4 linked regions of the Drosophila melanogaster genome follow. The protein of the gene in region 4 interacts with the protein of the main gene of each other region in a pairwise test. Each region holds a gene or a part of one and is shown on either strand. Other genes may lie near its edges.

The links.
Region 1: the proteins of Gapdh2 (region 4) and unc-119 interact in a two-hybrid assay, tested with the Drosophila melanogaster proteins (one large-scale study listed by BioGRID).
Region 2: the proteins of Gapdh2 (region 4) and Hsp60B interact in a two-hybrid assay, tested with the Drosophila melanogaster proteins (one large-scale study listed by BioGRID).
Region 3: the proteins of Gapdh2 (region 4) and Yod1 interact in a two-hybrid assay, tested with the Drosophila melanogaster proteins (one large-scale study listed by BioGRID).

The regions. Positions count from the first base shown.
Region 1 is NC_004354.4:7,287,833-7,293,250, forward strand, and holds unc-119 (unc-119), read right to left. Parts: upstream 3,467-5,418; 5' UTR 2,961-3,466; exon of another isoform or gene 2,957-2,960; intron 2,846-2,956; 5' UTR 2,734-2,845; intron 2,564-2,733; 5' UTR 2,419-2,563; coding exon 1,913-2,418; intron 1,847-1,912; coding exon 1,674-1,846; intron 1,433-1,673; coding exon 1,314-1,432; 3' UTR 535-1,313; downstream 1-534. Other genes in the region: CG2059 (uncharacterized protein), read left to right, coding at 1-14, 79-217. UniProt on the Drosophila melanogaster protein: Myristoyl-binding protein that acts as a cargo adapter: specifically binds the myristoyl moiety of a subset of N-terminally myristoylated proteins and is required for their localization.
Region 2 is NT_033779.5:726,477-731,104, reverse strand, and holds Hsp60B (heat shock protein 60B), read right to left. Parts: upstream 2,744-4,628; 5' UTR 2,598-2,743; coding exon 651-2,597; 3' UTR 541-650; downstream 1-540. UniProt on the Drosophila melanogaster protein: Prevents misfolding and promotes the refolding and proper assembly of unfolded polypeptides generated under stress conditions.
Region 3 is NT_037436.4:5,132,168-5,136,181, reverse strand, and holds Yod1 (Yod1 deubiquitinase), read right to left. Parts: upstream 2,312-4,014; 5' UTR 2,243-2,311; intron 1,963-2,242; exon of another isoform or gene 1,837-1,962; 5' UTR 1,792-1,836; coding exon 748-1,791; coding exon of another isoform or gene 676-747; 3' UTR 512-675; downstream 1-511. Other genes in the region: CG10674 (uncharacterized protein), read left to right, coding at 1-104, 172-342; CG15213 (uncharacterized protein), read left to right, coding at 3,037-3,054, 3,114-3,284. UniProt on the Drosophila melanogaster protein: Hydrolase that can remove conjugated ubiquitin from proteins and may therefore play an important regulatory role at the level of protein turnover by preventing degradation. Involved in the regulation of DNA damage repair.
Region 4 is NC_004354.4:15,866,482-15,870,177, reverse strand, and holds Gapdh2 (glyceraldehyde 3 phosphate dehydrogenase 2), read right to left. Parts: upstream 2,034-3,696; 5' UTR 1,935-2,033; intron 1,861-1,934; 5' UTR 1,843-1,860; coding exon 844-1,842; 3' UTR 517-843; downstream 1-516.

The sequences.
Region 1 (5,418 bases), 8.6 Mb from region 4:
TCACCTTACATGAGGTAACTTGGATCCCGAGGTGCTAAGTAAACTAAACTAATTGAATCTTTTTGCCATCTTTATTAGACGCGAGCAATGGCCACAGATACAGAAAATGTTTCCCAATTCTGAGATCCACTGGCTGGATGCCGGACATTTAGTGCACTTTGAAAAGCCGCAGGAGTTTCTAACAATAGTCAGCGAGTTCCTGAATAGAACTGAGTAGACCAAATTTTGATATTTTAACCAAATGTACAAAGAAGTCAATCGCGTAGATCGACTTTAGCTAAATTGGAAAGTGAACGCTTTGTTTTTCTTGGGAACGGGAATTCAAATTAATTTCACTTCAGAACTCGAGAAGACATTCTTCAACGATCTACGCAGATCTTCAAGAATCTTCACCGAAAAGAGCGGGATAGCAATATATATATTTTTTTTTTTGATATAAGCGTTCTGAACTTGATGATTTTTCAGAATATAATAAATTTCTTAAGCACCTTTAGTGCACGAAATGCCCTCGATTTAACCCCCTTAGAAAAGTTTCAATTTATAGTGGTGTATGTACATTTAAAATGTAATTTAATTTATCATTCTTGTTCGGCGTGTAATCGTTAGTGTTTTTTTTTTTTTGGATTTCCAGTTACGTTCGTCTTTTTCCATTTGGTTTTTGTTTAAAAAATATACATACACAGACACGAAAAAAATGCCATGAAGAAGCTGATAGATTTCGTATGATTTCGTATGCTGCATACAAAAATTGACGGCAAATGGATTTTCCTCAATTTTTTTTTTTTGAAAATTTCCAATTCGCTTCTCATAAGTTCTGTGTGTGCGTGTGTGTATACGTACGTATTTTATATATATGTATTTGTTGTTTCTTGTTGGGTGTGTGTGTGGAGTGTCCTTACTTATTAGGATTAAATAAGTGTGTACAAATACATATATAAATCAAGGGAAATCACATAGCACTTAAAATTATATAGTCAAAGTGGAAATCATTGATAAATGAACACAATCCGCGTGCTTCAGTGTGTTGTTGTTGTGTTTGTGTGTTAGTTTCCGTTTGCAGGAGATCATATCTTGATGCTAAATACATCAAACAGGAATGGTGGGTAAAACTTTGGTGTGCTAAGGCTAAAATGGCTGTGATAATATTCCTCGATTCGATTCGATGTGTTTGTGAGTGTGATTGTTGACATTGAGTGGGTGTTTCGTGTGTGTGTGTGTGTGACAAGTCATTGATTTTGTCTCACAGCTTCTGTAGTTTCTAGTTCTTTAGTTATTAGTTTTGCTCTAGTTGCAGTTCCATTATAGTTGAGTTTCTAGACTATATTGCCGCCATCGTAGGCGTAGTCGGCTTTGTTGTGCATGACGAGTCGGTTTCCCACAAAGTAAAAGCTGTCCGAGCGCGTCTCAAAGGGGCTCGATATCATCTCAGCAACTAAAAAAAAATGGAAAACGAACGAACATATTTATGTGAATTGCATTTCATTAATAAGTCCACATCCTACAAACCGATAACAAAAAATAAAAACCATGATAGCTGCTCGCAATCTGACCAATAGAAGCCTCATCTCACAGGCGCAAATCGTAAACGACCTTGACCCACAAACCCCTTCAACTTTTGGCAGCAACTTTCAATTGCGTGTCATGCTGGCTGGGATTATGTAAAAATTGCTCACCTAGGTCGGGTGGAAGGTTAGGAAACTCGTAGATGTGCTCAACCGTATTCTTCGAAAATGGAAAGCAAAAGCCGAACTCAAAGTCAAACGTCTTTAGCAGGCGATCGCGGAAGAAGTGGCGTTCGATCATACGAAAATTATTAAGCGGCTGGCTGCCCACAGTGAATTCCACACTGCAAATAAGGGAAACTTACAAATTGAGAGGCATTTAAAACAAATGCAAATACTGTATAACCTACGTGGCTCCCACTGTTTTGAGGTTGAGAAATGCCGGTGTGAACTGATAGCGCACATAGCGTCCGGCATTTGGATCGGCAGTGTCATCCAGTGACAATTTCTCGGCAGCCGCCAGCATGGTTTCATCCGAGGACAGTCCTTCCGGATATTGTTCACTCGGCGGTTTGGCGATCTCGAAGAGCACAGCGCCGCTCTCCAGGTCGCGAATCTTGAACCGCGTGAAATCAATCTCGAACACATTTGCATTGGCGGAGCAGAGATAGTCGTCCGTGATCTTGGTCAGATGGAGCACCTCGTCGGGAGTCACGCTGGAAGACTCCGCAGGCCGTTTGGCATCACCGGAGGCACCAGCGCCCGCTGCTGCAGCTCCCGACGATCCTCCACTGCCGCCGTTGGCCTCCACTCCACTGTTCGAAGAAGAGGATCCTGCGGCCGCGGAGGAAGACGTTGTCACTGCGCCTGCACCGGAGGATTGCACCGGATTTAGTTGCTTACCCACCACGCTCATTGTGCACGGAATGAATCTGGTGGTATTATTTGTCTATAGTCTGCGTTTCGGATTTCTCAAGCTGAACAGCTTTTTTAAGGCTCCTGGCTGGATGGCTGCTGCAGTGGTATCCTTTGATTTGAAGAAGCTACTCCGCTGTCTCACTCTGCGAATAGAAAGGAATAGGCATTGGTTATTAGGGAGTAAATAATAAAATATAGCACAAATACTTTTGAATTTCTATTACTTCAAACTAAACTGAATAATGAAATATCACATTTTTTTTTTAACATAGCAAAAAAAAAAAAAAGAAGTCATAGTTGTTAAGTTACTCACCAACACAAACACACACAAGTGTAGAGTTGTCATAAATTGTGCCAGGATTTTCTGGTGGAAATATAAGGCTTCGTCTCCGCTACCCTATTATCCTTTCGCTTTCCGCTCCTCACTATTAATTTTTGCCAAATATGAATAGTTATTTGGCGAAAAGCACAAAAATAAGTTAAGTATAAGGTATATAAGTTAAAATAAATTCAACATAAATGCAAACACTACTTACCCACACGAATTCAGGTTGCAAGTGTTGCCATAACATTTAGCTGTCAGCGACAACAACGTCCACGACCATTGCAACAACAGCAACAACAACAACAACACCGAACCGACGACGACAGCAACAAATGAAATTCGTTTGAAAATCACCAGCAACAGCAGCAACAACAACAACAACAACAACAAATGACCCAATTTCTGAAAAAGCTGCGCTCTCCTTTTTCCTTTTTTTTTCCTTTGTGTTTGTTTTTCCCTTTTCGGTTCGCGTCCTTTATGCGAATGTATGTGTGTGTGTGTGTGTTTTTATATGTTTATGTATGCGCAGGGATTCATTTATTAATTTGGTTTTAGTTGCTGTTGGCACTGCCCGAAAATCAATTAGATCAATTTGACCGGCAATGCTGCTGGTGTTGTTGTTGTCGTCCGCAAAAGCAACTTAACGCACTTAAACGCTAAACATTGCACCTTTTTTGCCCACTTTTTTTGCACTACTCAGCAATCGATAGATTATCGATGATGCATTACAGGAAATCGGTGAGACCGTTCGCGCATGGGGAAAAACTTACGACCAACGTTGCCACATACTCGCAAAAAAACATTTCTGCGTTCTAGCAGGGGTCACACTGTTGGCGCAATATTCAAAATATTCTACATTTTACATCTAGAAAAAAGGCTATTCAGATTTTTAACATTATTTATTGTATAACCGAAAGTAAGCGAACGTTTGCAGAAAGCTTAATCGGAAATAATGAGTATAGACAAGTATAAGTATAGATTTTCACATCTTAAGCTTAAATTGAAAACCCAAACTAAAAAATAAAATGCATATACCCCCGTCACTCGCCAGAGTAAACCACTATATACAAAGCAAATTCGAAAAGGAAACACTTTGGAAGCGTGCAAATGTGTTAAATGGCGTGTTGCGATCGCCTTCCCATGCATTTTTGTGGCCGACAATTAGTTAATATCCATGCAGCAGACTGCCGCTTGCTTCTCCCGCTTCTCAAGTGCGCCGTCGAGTGGTTTCCTTTCCTTTCGCTTCCCCTCCCTTCGCCTAGAATGCAGATAAGCCCGGCCTAAAACTCAAGTGTCCTCCTATCCACATCCCATCCCATTCCATATACAACGCACCCATACTCGGACCCATTTCGATTTCCATATTCAGACGCACGGGCGCCAATGCCAGATCATGTTTGTGCACTGCGAGAAATGCTGGCTATAATATTATTTAGATCTATTTCGATTTTTCACGCTTAGTGAGTCGCTATTTTAGTTTATAGATTTCATGTAAATAAAATAGCACTATGATATTAAGATAGTTTTTTTTTTCATATTCATACATAAATGTATTTTTTTCTTTCAGTGCGAGACGAAAGTACTTGAGTTCAATTCTAGCTCCTCCTTTTCACATTTTCTCTGCTTCTTGCCGCTGTTATTGTTGGCCTTAAGTGGGTATTTTAATATTCGCAGCCGGAGCCAAAGAAGTGTTAAGTTTCAGGGGCCACATATGCACTTATCCCCCGTCCACTGTCCACTGCCCCTGCCCCTGCCCCTGTTTTTTTTTCTCCATTGGCGTCCGCGTTTCCTGTATTTTTTTTTTGTAGTTTTTTTTTTTTTTTTTGTTTCTTACATTGGTATTGGTGTGTATCTGTGTGGCAGCACTGGGAACGTGTTCGGCTCTATCTTTAGTACAGTTTGACTGGAGATCTCCAAACTGACCCCCCCCCCCTTGCACCGCCGCCCCTCACTTGATTTATCCCCCAAAAACTCACATAAAATCTGCAGACAGCCGGGCACCTGAGGAATATGCCATCTGACAGGCCGAAAGGGTCGACAAAAGATCCAAGGAATTCGCGGGATAATCCATCTTTTGTATCAGCGCAAATGCCATAGGCAGGATTCGGTTTCATTTGAGTTAAATTTGCTGTTCCATGAGATTAAATATTTTCGAACCAATTTTTAATGACTGCAGCAGGTGGCCAATTTAAAAGTACTAACTCTATATTATTCAATTATATCAAAGGACACTTTTAAGGATAATTTTATTCGCCCAGAGGATGGTAACCCAAAAATACTTAACCTGTTTTCTTCAGAATTTATATACATACTAATGTATATAAGCTTTTCCAAATAGTAGCTACATCCGACTTATCACCGATCGATTTACATTTACATAGCAAATGAAACTTAACGTTCGATTGTTAGTTGATGAAATTTGTTTGAATATTTCTTTCTTTCACGGACGGACCATAGAACTTTTCGAGCCATAGAACTCAAGTACCCCCTCCTGTGTACTTCAATGCGTGTTTGTGTGTGCGTCTGTGTGCCTGGGTATCGAAAACAAACAGTAGAGCAGCAACAAAAACCAAAAATCGTGGGCGATAATATTCGTACTCGAATGGCCGAACAGGGGCGTGGCACAAAAAAAGGGGGCTAGAAATATTTTCCAAAGCTTGTTGCATCTAATAA
Region 2 (4,628 bases), on a different chromosome or scaffold from region 4:
CGAGGTCCAAGAGGCTGTGGCTTTTCCCTGGCCCACGCTCGATGCTCGATGGGTCCGTCCACCATTTTCGGTTCGTTTGCGGGCCTCGATGAAAAATTTGCAAATTGGAATTACTTATTTATTGATGCATGTTTGATGTGACGCTCTTGTGGAGGCTCCCAGCCTCAGGCCCCCCTTCTTGCGCACTCACTCTCATGTAACGAATCGCTTTTTTAGCTGCGGGCCACAAATGAAATCTGCAAACACAAACCATGCAAAGTACGGGGGAAAAAACCGAGGGTCGGCTCACATGTGTGAGAAATTGCTGTTTGTTTTATGCAAATGATCATCGCATTGCAGCTGGATTCGCTCTGCCGGTCGCCGTTCCAAATTTTCGGCTGCAATTAAAAACCGAAAGTGTGAAGGAAGTGTAGCTTTTTGCAGACCAGCATAATGAACCGGTTGAAAGATATTTGGCCAGAAAACTGCTGGTGTAGGGAAAAGGCCAATAATTCACTTTCTCAAGTCATTTGGAAGGGTTCCCGACTGTTTTATACAATTCGTTTTCGATTGTCAATTTATATTTTAGATGAACACATAAAATTTAGACACTCAACAGATATTTGAACTATAGAAACGATTTGAGCTGGAGCGGATAACGGAAGCGGGTTCTACATCATCCCACTGTCAATGTCACGCACCTCTACTTGCTCCATGCCGGGAATAGCCTTGACCATTTCATTCATCTCCTCGGCAGTGGGACCGTCATTGCTGGCAGAAGCGCTCATTCCGCCACCAGCGCCCATTCCGCCGAATCCACCTCCCATTCCTCCCATACCTCCCATACCACCCATGCCTCCCATACCACCCATGCCACCCAATCCACTTAAGGCTGCCAGCTCCTCTAAGCCACCCATGTTCATGTCCAGTCCATCATCCATTCCGCCGCCAGCTCCTGACAACTTGGACAAAAGATCATCGTTCCGGGAGTCGGTGATAACCACCTCGGTGGTGCTCAGAAGAGAGGCCACTCCAGCTGCATCCGTGATGGCGGTCCGCAGCACCTTTGTGGGATCAATAATGCCCTTCTCGACCAGCCGACAGTACTCATCGCCCATGGCATCGTAGCCGTAGTCTTCCGAGCCATTCAACACCTTGGCCACCACCATTGGGCCATCAACTCCGGCGTTTTGAGCTATGGTCTGGCAAGGCATCCTCAGGGCATTGCAGACGATATCGACGCCCTTCTGGAGATCTGCACTCTCCGTTTTGAGTTCCTGGAGGTAGGGAATGCAGCGCAAAAAGGCCGTACCGCCACCTGGGACAATTCCCTCTTCGATGGCCGCTCGAGTGGCATTCAAGGCGTCCACCACACGGTCCTTTTTCTCATTCACCTCAACTTCACTGCCTCCACCAATGTGCAGCACTGCCACGCCCTTCGTGAGGGCGGAGAGGCGTTGGCGCAGACGATCCCGCTGCTCTGGCTTGATTTGCTTTTCCGCCAGTTCATCTTGAATTTGCTGGATGCGCATTTCCAAAAGTCCTGTCTTGGGTTTGCCCTGCAGGAGCATGGTGCTGTCCTTGCTAATCACAGCCTCGCCAACCTGACCCAGATCCTCCAGCTTAGCCTCCTCCATTTTGGAATAGTTGATGTCATCGCCGAAAATAGTTGCTCCCGTGGCAGCGGATATATCGCCTATAAGCTCCTTGCGGTGGTGTCCATAGCTGGGCGATTTGACGGCGCACACCTGGAGGCCCAACCTGAGCTTGTTCAGGACCAAAGCATTGAGGGCTTCCCCGCTGATGTCCTCGGCTATGATGATCAGGGGACGACGCTGCCTCAGGGATTGCTCCAGACCTTTAACTATTTGCGAGAGTCCAGTGATCTTCTTCAGGGATATCATTACAAGGGCGTTGGCAAACTCCACCTTGGACCCCTTGGAGCTGTTTACGAAAAAGGGCGACACATAGCCGTTGTCGAAGCGCAGGCCCTGGATAATATTTAGCTCGTCCTTCAGGCGCTTGCCATCCTTTACAGTAATAGTTCCTCTTGGACCCACTTTGTCGGTGGCCTCACCAATGAGCCGCCCAATTTCAGTATCCCCGTTCGCGGAGAGGGTGGCTACTTGTTGGATCTCCTCACGCGTTTCCACTGCCTTGGACATTTCCTTCAGCTTGTCCTTTACGACGTCAACAGCTAACATGACACCTCGACGAATCTCCACGGGATTAGCCCCCATGGTAATCTGATTGAATCCTTCCTTGGCAATCGCTCGAGCCAAAACTGTTGCTGTGGTCGTGCCGTCACCCGCCGACTCATTCGTATTATCGGCCACATCCTGGACCAACTTGGCGCCCAGATTCATGTGCTGGTCCTTTAGGGCAATCGAGCGCGCGACCGTGAAGCCGTCCTTGGTGATCTTCGGCGAGGTCCATGGTCGCTCCACGATCACACTGCGACCCTTGGGCCCCATGGTCACAGCAACGGCATCAGCCAGAATATCAACGCCCCGGATCATCATTGCCCGTACTCCGGAGCCAAAGCGCACGTCCTTCGAGTACATCCGCGCGAAACAGCGACTAGAGGTAATCGCCTTGGGCACACACGACCGAAACATTTTGCACTTAAGTTTGAAACTATAATAAAAAAAAAACTTTCAAAACTTTTGGTTCTAATATTTTTTCGTTTGATCTCAGACACGAAGTGAGTGCAACTAATATGTAGGTTGTTGACTCGATACTGACGGACTAGACGGACTCGTTCAAGGCCTACTCCCATATTCAAATCCAAATTTTGTTTCCATTATCTTTAAGCTTCTCGTTTTATGTAACATGTGCAAGCCATTCTTCTTTATTTATATTGCTTTTCCTTGAGCACTTTTCTCTTTTTTCTTTTTTCTCTTTGCGGACAAGTTTCCAGGCAATCGCCAGATTTCACAACATTCATTTGTCTGGCGCCTGCCCGTCTGCGATCTGCGGCTCTGAAATCTTCGACAACAGAAGCCGTGCCTTCTGTTTGCCGGAATAAATTAGCGTGCAGCTAATAAGCCCCGACATTCTGGGTGGAGTCTGCCCATTTGCAGTTCTATTCGCCTCCATCGGCTGAGGCTGACCCACAAACAAGACCAGCGTGTGCAGATTTCCCAGAACTGCGGTGCGACTGTTCTGCACCGGAGGATGGATGCATTTTCCTCGGCTGACCGTTCCCATTTCGAAGGCAGCTGTCAAAAATTGTGTGCTGCCTACTGCAAACTAAAGAAATTCACACATTTTGCTGCAAGCCAAACGGCAAATGGAAATGGAAATGGGGAGTTTGAGGCGGAGATGGAAATGGAGATGGGATGAAAATGTTGGGTGCACAGCGCGCAAGAAGGCATTACTTTCGCACGATGAATTGCACTTAGGTATGAATGTTTAGAAATAGGTTTGCATATAAATTCAATGCGATTTATATGAGCTATCTCTCGTATTCTATACGTATAAAATAATGTCACATTTAGTTCAGTAGGTATAACTTTTTTCTGTGTGCCGCAGACGGGAATTGGAACTGGGGTCGGAATCGGGATCCGTTTCCTGGCCGCTTGACGCGTTGATTGCCATGTGCAAGCGGTAGCACAGTAGCCGGGTTTTGTGTCAAAAGCACGTCACCGATTTGAAGGGGAAGGGCGGAGGAGCTGATTGATGAGGCATTTGCATGTTCGACGACTCTTCTTCCTCTCGCAACCTTTCTCCCCATCTGCGCCAACTCTGCGACATGTGAAAGTGTCCATGGTGGGAAGACCACCTGGTGGGCTGTGCGATAATCGTAACTACAAGCGATCTGCAGGGTCTCTTGTCGGCTACAAATTACTTTCGCTGGATAGCGAATAAGCCTCAATCTATGATTAATTGCAGGCCATCTTCGGGGATTCTCCAATTCATTTCAGTATTTTTGGTGGGCCAAAATTAACCCACTGACCGTTGGCTGATGATTTCCTATTGGTTTTGGCAGATTTTTTGCCGGCTCTGTCATTACCCGCGGATGGATCCGTGGATCGAGCAGATGAAGTCGTTCGGGTAATTGTGGAGCAGACAGCAAAGAAAGTTTTAATGAGAAATGGATAGACTGCAGACGATAGACTGGCAGTTCAATCTGAGCATTTGCGTAAGTACCAGGCAGACGAAATTCCTGGATCTGGGATCTGGGGCAGCCAAGTGCAGATTGAGCTGATGGGAGCGATCTATCGATGAACTGCACTAAAATAAATAATTTGGTGGTCGTCATAGCAAATTATCAGGTTCAACAATTTTAAATGGCCAATAATTTTGATCTTGAATTACAGTAATTAACGGGCATATAAAATGTGTGTGTCATGTTTCAATTCTGGCCATACGCTAGCTGTTAGTGCATATTTCTGAGTGTAATGAGGCAGCTAAAGCTTAGCCTCAATTTAGCCTTTGCCCCCCTAGTTTTTTTGACCCAACTGTGGCCAACTCTGCGTCGCGGAATGAGTGCCTCTCATATTGTCACGTACCGGGCGGTGTCAAGAGTGCATGAAAATCGTTGGCCGCATTCACTGTAATTAACTTTTTGACTCGATTTGACTGAGGCTGGGAGCTGGGAGCTGGGAGCTGGGAGCTGGAGCCCACCAGTTCGACCGGCCACCGTG
Region 3 (4,014 bases), on a different chromosome or scaffold from region 4:
CGCCCAAGAACCAGGGCCAGAGCGGCGGCGCCAACGAGGACATGATGCCGGATTACATGAACATTCTGGGCATGATTTTCTCCATGTGTGGACTGATGATGAAGGTAATAACACCCCAAAGATTACAACCAAGTGACTTGGCATTTATCAGTATGTAACCCACCTACACAGCTCAAGTGGTGCGCCTGGTTTGCGCTGTACTGCTCCTGCATTAGTTTCGCCAGTTCTCGGGCCAGCGACGATGCCAAACAGGTGCTCTCCTCCTTTATGTTGAGCGTCAGTGCGGTGGTGATGTCCTACCTCCAGAATCCCGCTGCCATGACCCCACCATGGGCTTCCTAGCACTGGACCTAAGATAACTATTTTAAATTTAATGTAATTGAACAGTTGAGAGCCTCGGTTTTGTTCGACGCTCAGTAAAAAAGTACGTACGTAGTTGGTTGCCTTGTGAATTCAGGACAGCTTTCTGGAACTTGACCTTATAGCTATATAGGTACCAACTCCAAGACTTGCCTAGTGTAGATGAAGGTATATTTTATTGCATTCCGAAAGGGATTAAAAGGGGACTAACATGAATACAGGCGGCTGGGCTCAATTCAATAATTAATAACTTAGGTAGGCGGTGATGTGGAGGTAGTACTGCTAATGAGATGACTCCTCGCACGGCGATTGTGGCTAGGTGGTGAGCAGGTAGTAGGCGAACAGCATGAATGCCACAATGTAGACGGTGCCGAAGATCAGGACGTATTAAATCTCTCCAAAGTTCTTGTGTCCGGTTTGCTTGGCATGCTCCTGGGCCTGCACCTGGCCGACCAGCCTGACATCGCACTGCATGCAGCGCAGCGTGAATTTATCCACATTGGTGTATTGGCGGGAGGACTGCGCCTCGTTGGCCAACTGCTCGGCCTGCTGATAGACGCCCAGCTCTTCCACCGGGAAGATGGTGGCCGGCGCAGCACTCGGCGATGTCTCCATGTACAGCGGATCGTAGTGGATGCCATCGAAGAGCAGGAAGACACGCAGTCCAAAGTTCTTGTCCTCGCCAAAGCGATTGATAATGGCGTTTTGTATGTCCACCACATCGATCTCAATGCCATAGTAGTTGGACAGTATGGACACTTCGATGGCGCCGCCCCACGAATCCGCCTTCTGTATCCAGGCGCAGTACTCGGCATTCGATTTGCCCAGCACGGCGTCGTTGTAGCTCTGCGGATCGGCGGCCACCTCCTGCGCAATGATGTGACGCATCATTTCGCTGCCCTCGTTGTCCACCTTCCCGTTGAGCACGAATCGTATGCTGGTGAAGAGGCACGAATTGTCCGCCGGCACCACCTTCTTCAGCAGTATGCCATTAAAGTCGCCATTCGGTCCGCTTTCCGTCGGCGCCACTGGCAGCTGGTAGTCTGCTGCCTGGGCGACTGGACCGCCAGCGGTTTCCTGCAGCAGCTGTGCCTCCTCCTCGGCCTGCAGACGACGCGCCAGCGCCTCGTCATCCTCCACGGTGGTGCCGCCAGGCACAGGGGCAGCAGGAGCAGGGGCAGCCTTCTCCTCCACAATCAGCGTCTCTCCGCTGTTGATTCCGACCGCCTTGAGGGCGCGCTGCTCCTGCTGCTGCGAGAGATCCAATGGCTTGGGCGGATAGCCTACTAGGACGTGCAATTGCGTCGCTTCGATGTCGGTGGCCTGGACTATTTTCGTTTTCAGCTCCCCCAGCGTCGTATGCTCGTTCAGGTCGTTGACAATGAATTGACCTTTTTTGGACTTGAGCTTCACACTGAACGAACCCGTCATTGTATCCGTTTGTTCTCTTCGTGTGGGCCTGCGATGGAAATTGGGCTAATTTTGAGTTGGTTTTTGTGTGCAATTGGATAACTGATAAATTTTGTAATTTGACTAATTTGTTTCTTTTTTTTTATTTGTTTGTTACAGCGTATCGATGCTATCGAATTTCGATATCTGTTGGTATTTTTTGTGCTTTAATATATAATTATAATCGATTAGTGCAGTGAGTAATGTTGTTGGCGAGGCCAATCGATTTTTTGTTCTCTTGCAAACTTTTTGATAAGAGTGGCAGCACTGGAAAATTGGCGCTATTTATTTAAATTTTCAAAAGTGGGAAAATCAAAGAGGAGATTTATGTATTTTCCTCTTTTCTACTCCATTTTGTAAATCTTGATTGATAATTATGGAAAGCAAATCTTAATTAAAATGTAAACACATTTAATTATAAGAATAAAATTACTTCGATTTTACAGATTTTAGCTTGGATGTGAAATATTTAGAAATTTACAAATAACTCTACATTCGACTTTTAATTTACTCAATGCAGCTAATTTCGAAAAGTTGGCAGGTCGGCATTTTCAAACCGCCTGCTTAAATTTAAATCTCAAAATCTTATCAATTTTGCGCAATGGGTTATTCGCCGTCTGCCAGCATACACACTTAAAAATATAACTATATTCGGATAATTCAGCTACTCTAGCCTATTATGGAGGTGTGAACGAAAAGCTAATGGCTGATCTGAACGTTAAGGCCAATGTCAAGTTGCTAATTAATATTTAGCAGAGATTCCGCTCGCAGCTAATGGCCAAGTCAAATAGAACCCAGAACCAAGGAAACACCGATTAGCAAAAAGAAGTGAAGCCGGAGAAACCGCAAGTCAACAAATTGCCCAAACATAAGGCGTCGCAAGTTCAACAATGGCACCACAATAAGGTAATCTACTTGGCTACGAAAAAGGGAACCTGGCTTTTGTTATCACATTGCGTGTTGGACTAAAATCACTTTTAATAGTCCAAACAGATTGATATACCACCCCGCCCGCCGACATGTGAATCACTGAATCTTTGGCTGATGCTTCGCGTTGTTTTAGTTTCTATGAAAGACGAGCGGTCTGCCGGCCGAGCAACTCACTCTCAACTGAACAGGCATATAAATAGACGGGTCGGCGGGGTCTGGTGATCAGTGCAAGCAGGTCTGTCAACGCGCAGTGCGAATCCATCGATCGATTACTACATACATCTAGCCACATACAACATGAAGTTCTTGCTCCTGGTGCGTCACTAAAAATCGACACGGAATACCAAGGAACTTTACTGACCCTTCCTTTACAGAGCGTCTTCCTTTGCCTTGCCGTGTGCTTCATGGCCACCAGTGCTGCTCCTCGCGAGGAGGCCATTCCCGATGGCTTCGAAGGTCCTGGCAGTGAGTCCGTCAACCCATCCGACGACCAATCCTTCCTGCTCAAGCTGAAGCTGCTCAAGAAGCTGCTGTTCCTGGGCTAGACACCACACCCTCACATTTATGGATTTATAGTTTAACTTAACATGTGTTTAGGTTTTTAAGAAGAAAAACAAGAGTGAAATTAAAGAAAGTATTTGGTAACGAAACCTTTACTTATTCATTTTTTATTGCAAGGTTAAAACAAAATGGTGCCCAAAAAAAAAACAAGTTCGCTTCTTAAGTCTTTTGTTTGAAGAGGTCCAACCTTCAATTCCAAATAATTTTCTTTTTTTACGATCACATTAAAATCATTCCTAATACTACTAATACACCTGAATGTTAAAATTTATGGTAAGTTGAAAGGCTGGAACCATGTGCTTCAACTTGATGGCAATCATGTCCGATTTTTCGTGACCAGCTCTCAATATGTCAATATGTGATGAGTTATCGTTACTTTTTACATAATTTTGATACTTGAAAATATTTAATATATTATATTTAGTTAAGCTATAATATTACTGGCATATCAAGTTAACTAATCATGCCAATTAATGAAAGTAGGTATGATCATTAATCTCACAGTGGGCTCCTTGTATTAGCACATCATTGAACCCACTTGATTCATTTACGACTGAGATTGGCCAATATTTATACGCATGTAAGGAAGATTCCGTTCGCTTTTCACACTCTCTACCCAGAAACGATCCGAAACGGGTTTCTTATTCAGATCTAGGCAAACAAAAACCCGACCCGCTGCCAGTCATTAGCTCCTTTTTGGACACACATGGAGAT
Region 4 (3,696 bases):
TGAGAAAATTAATCGAAAAGACGGTATAGCAAGCGATTAAATATCGATAACGATATAATGGTGAAGTGCTGTTGAAATGATGCAGTCAACCAAAATATTTGATTATATTTGCCAATTATGCAAATATAAATCGGCAGAGAAACATTATTTTCTCAGAAATGTATCCAAAAAGCCAGGCTTACACAGACAATATGCCACCGTTAGTCTCTCCAAATATCGATAACTTCTGTTTATACATTGCTTCAACTGAAGGGTTTAAGGTCGCTCTTATCGAAATCTGTAAAAGCCCGATTTTTGCCGATAACAATACCATAGAATCAGGCTCATTTAAAATTATTTGAAAACTTTAACAAGTTATGTAATCATTCAAAAACCAATCGACTTAAAAAAAATATCGACACATTTCTGTTATATATATATTACTTCCAAATATAGCAAATGAAAAAAACAATTTAAAGTAATACTCATACTATTTTAGGTATTTCAACGGTTTATACCAAATAAAAAGGCAAAAATAAATATTTAAATGCTTATGAGTCGGCATTTTTAAAACTACACACAGAGTGAAACTTTATTCAACAACAGTAAACATATTTATGTGTATAATGGATGTATTATATTAATAATTTTCCAATGTGGCTGGTAATTGAAGAGCGAAAACAGTAGCATTTCAGAGCATAGCGCATATGTATGTAGGTGATGCTCCACCGGGGAGCAATATATATATAAGTTATGTGATGCCATTTTCAGGCCGTTTCTGAAGTGTCTCACCCCATTCTACCGCGCCCTAATCTTTAACTTTTACGTAGAGTGTGGGTGGGTAGTGTTCTTGGTGTTCCACATTTAATCCTTGCTCTGCATGTACTTGATCAGGTCGATGACGCGGTTGGAGTAGCCAAACTCGTTGTCGTACCAAGAGATCAGCTTCACGAACTTGTCGTTTAGCGAAATGCCAGCCTTGGCATCGAACACCGACGAGTGGGTGTCGCTGAGGAAATCGGTAGAAACGACCTCCTCATCGGTGTATCCCAGGATACCCTTCAGGGGTCCGTTGGCGGCCTCCTGAACCTTGGCCTTAATTTCATCATAGGACGCACCCTTGCCCAAGCGCACGGTCAAATCGACCACGGAAACGTTGGGAGTGGGCACACGGAATGCCATTCCGGTGAGCTTACCGTTGAGGGCGGGGATAACCTTGCCCACGGCCTTGGCAGCTCCAGTGGAAGCTGGAATGATGTTCTGGGCAGCGCCACGTCCATCACGCCACAACTTGCCGGAAGGTCCATCGACGGTCTTCTGGGTAGCGGTGGTGGCATGAACGGTGGTCATCAGACCCTCGACGATCTCGAAGTTGTCGTTGATCACCTTGGCCAGAGGAGCCAAGCAGTTGGTGGTGCACGATGCGTTGGAGACCACCTTCATGTCGGGCTTGTAGGCATCCAAGTTGACGCCGCAAACGAACATGGGAGCATCGGCGGATGGGGCCGAGATGATAACCTTCTTGGCACCGCCCTTCAAGTGAGTGGATGCCTTGTCGATGGTGGTGAACACGCCAGTGGACTCCACGATGTATTCGGCACCAGCGCTGGCCCAGTTGATGTTGGCCGGGTCGCGTTCGCTGAAGACGGTGATCTTCTGGCCGTTGACCACCAGGAAACCGCCCTCGGCGGCAACGGTGCCCTTAAAACGTCCGTGGGTCGAATCGAACTTGAACAGGTAGACCATGTAGTTCACATCGATGAAGGGATCGTTGACGGCCACAACGTTGGCGCCCTTATCAATGGCGGCGCGGAGAACCAAGCGGCCGATGCGACCAAATCCATTGATACCAATCTTCGACATGGTTAACTTTTTGTTTATCTGGAAAGTAATGTATGTATATGTAAAGCAGTTAGTACTTGGAAAGTTTTCCGCGGAATTGAGGGAAACACTACCTATCGGCTTGCTTGCAAGGAATCGACTGTGATGGCTGAGAAATTTTGAGCGCTTTCTATGGGCGAAAACTCGGGCGAAAAATTGTTCAAAGTCAGATGAAGGACGTGCATGTCAAGCTCGAGAGCGGCTACCGCAATAAAAAAGAGCTTTTGCTCTCAGTAACGTGAAAGCTCAATGCTACCCAATAGACTTTTTGCAAGCATCATTATATGAATATAATAAGTAGATATGTACATAAGATACGCTTAACTTTAAAAACTTCTGATCTTAGACAGTTAAAGTGACCTATAAAGTATATGGATTTTTTAATTTATACGGACAAATGTTTATTGGGATATTTTTATGGCCATTTCACCTGCTCAATTTTGTTGACGGAAGTTGAGCTTTCTTGTGAGCTTAGTTGCCGGCAATTACATACGTGCATATATAGGCACACGAAACATACACATATATGAGCACGTCTGATGAACATCAATTGGTTATATTGTACATAAATATGTACATAAGTAAATGCAAATGGAAAAATCCTAACATCCCCACATAAATACATATTCATCAATTTCATTAATATTAAAATTTAGAGGTCATATTCTGAGCAAATTGAAGTTTCGCCGGTACGTGACATTAATCTGTACAATACATGTACATATGTACAAAGATACATATACATGTAAATATGTATATATCTTCTATGCATAACTACAATATTAGATGAAATAATTGTCTAAGTAATTAAATTATCCGTTTTGATGATTTCATTTAAGCAATTGTGCTGTTGTCATCCCATTGTTAAAATGAAAAACACCTGACAGCTCAAGTAGGCATCCAAATTTCATGAATTTTAAACGCTAATGGTAATAAATAGTGTTAGTCACAAAATTCCATGTACCCATAACAACGAAATTGTATAACTTTATGATGAAAACTAAGTGAATGTGACCTTTTGAGTCACGCAGAATTCATTTACCTTTTTTTATTATATATAAACATGTATATACATATGTTCTTAAAATCAGCAGATCCCGTTTATATAAATATTAAAACATATGTATACGAACGATATATAATCAAAATCAATTAATTTGGGAGTATTTTATTCATACAATCATTTGTAGTAAAAAAAAAGGTATCTGCAAATTAATCATTTCTCCTTCCCCAAACTGAATAATCGATATTGTAATCATTTAACATTCTTTTTATTCTTTTCATTCTTTTTATATATTTATCGATTTGTTTTCAGTGCAACCCTTAATTATGAACATAGCAGTGAAAATTCAAATAAGCGCGCCAACATTAAAATGTTGAAATATGCAATTTGACAAGAACTCAACATTTCTGTTGCCTTATCTTTTACATTTTATAAATTATTTCTCGAATAAGTATTAAATATTTTAGTGCGTCATGTTTATTTATTAATACTTGGGCTGGGCAAAAAAGTTCGTTCCTTTTCAGTGAGTCATCGGTTTTACTGATAAGCAAACATTTCACTTGTTTTTTAACCTCTCATCTTTATATTGTTGAAACGATAAATGTATTTCAGCTTGGTGCTAAATTATTGCAGCAAAGTCAAAAACAATGCTTACATCTTACCATTAAGATCCATTGAAAGATGACTTCTAGATTTATACATTACCGAAAAAAAGGATCCGATTAGAAAAGTATCCCTGAAAGTGAATAAAACACCTGCCAATGTTGTGGAAGTCTTACTGTCCTTCGAGTTTGTGGGGTTATTGCCTTTTATGCTAACATCCCAGGATGACT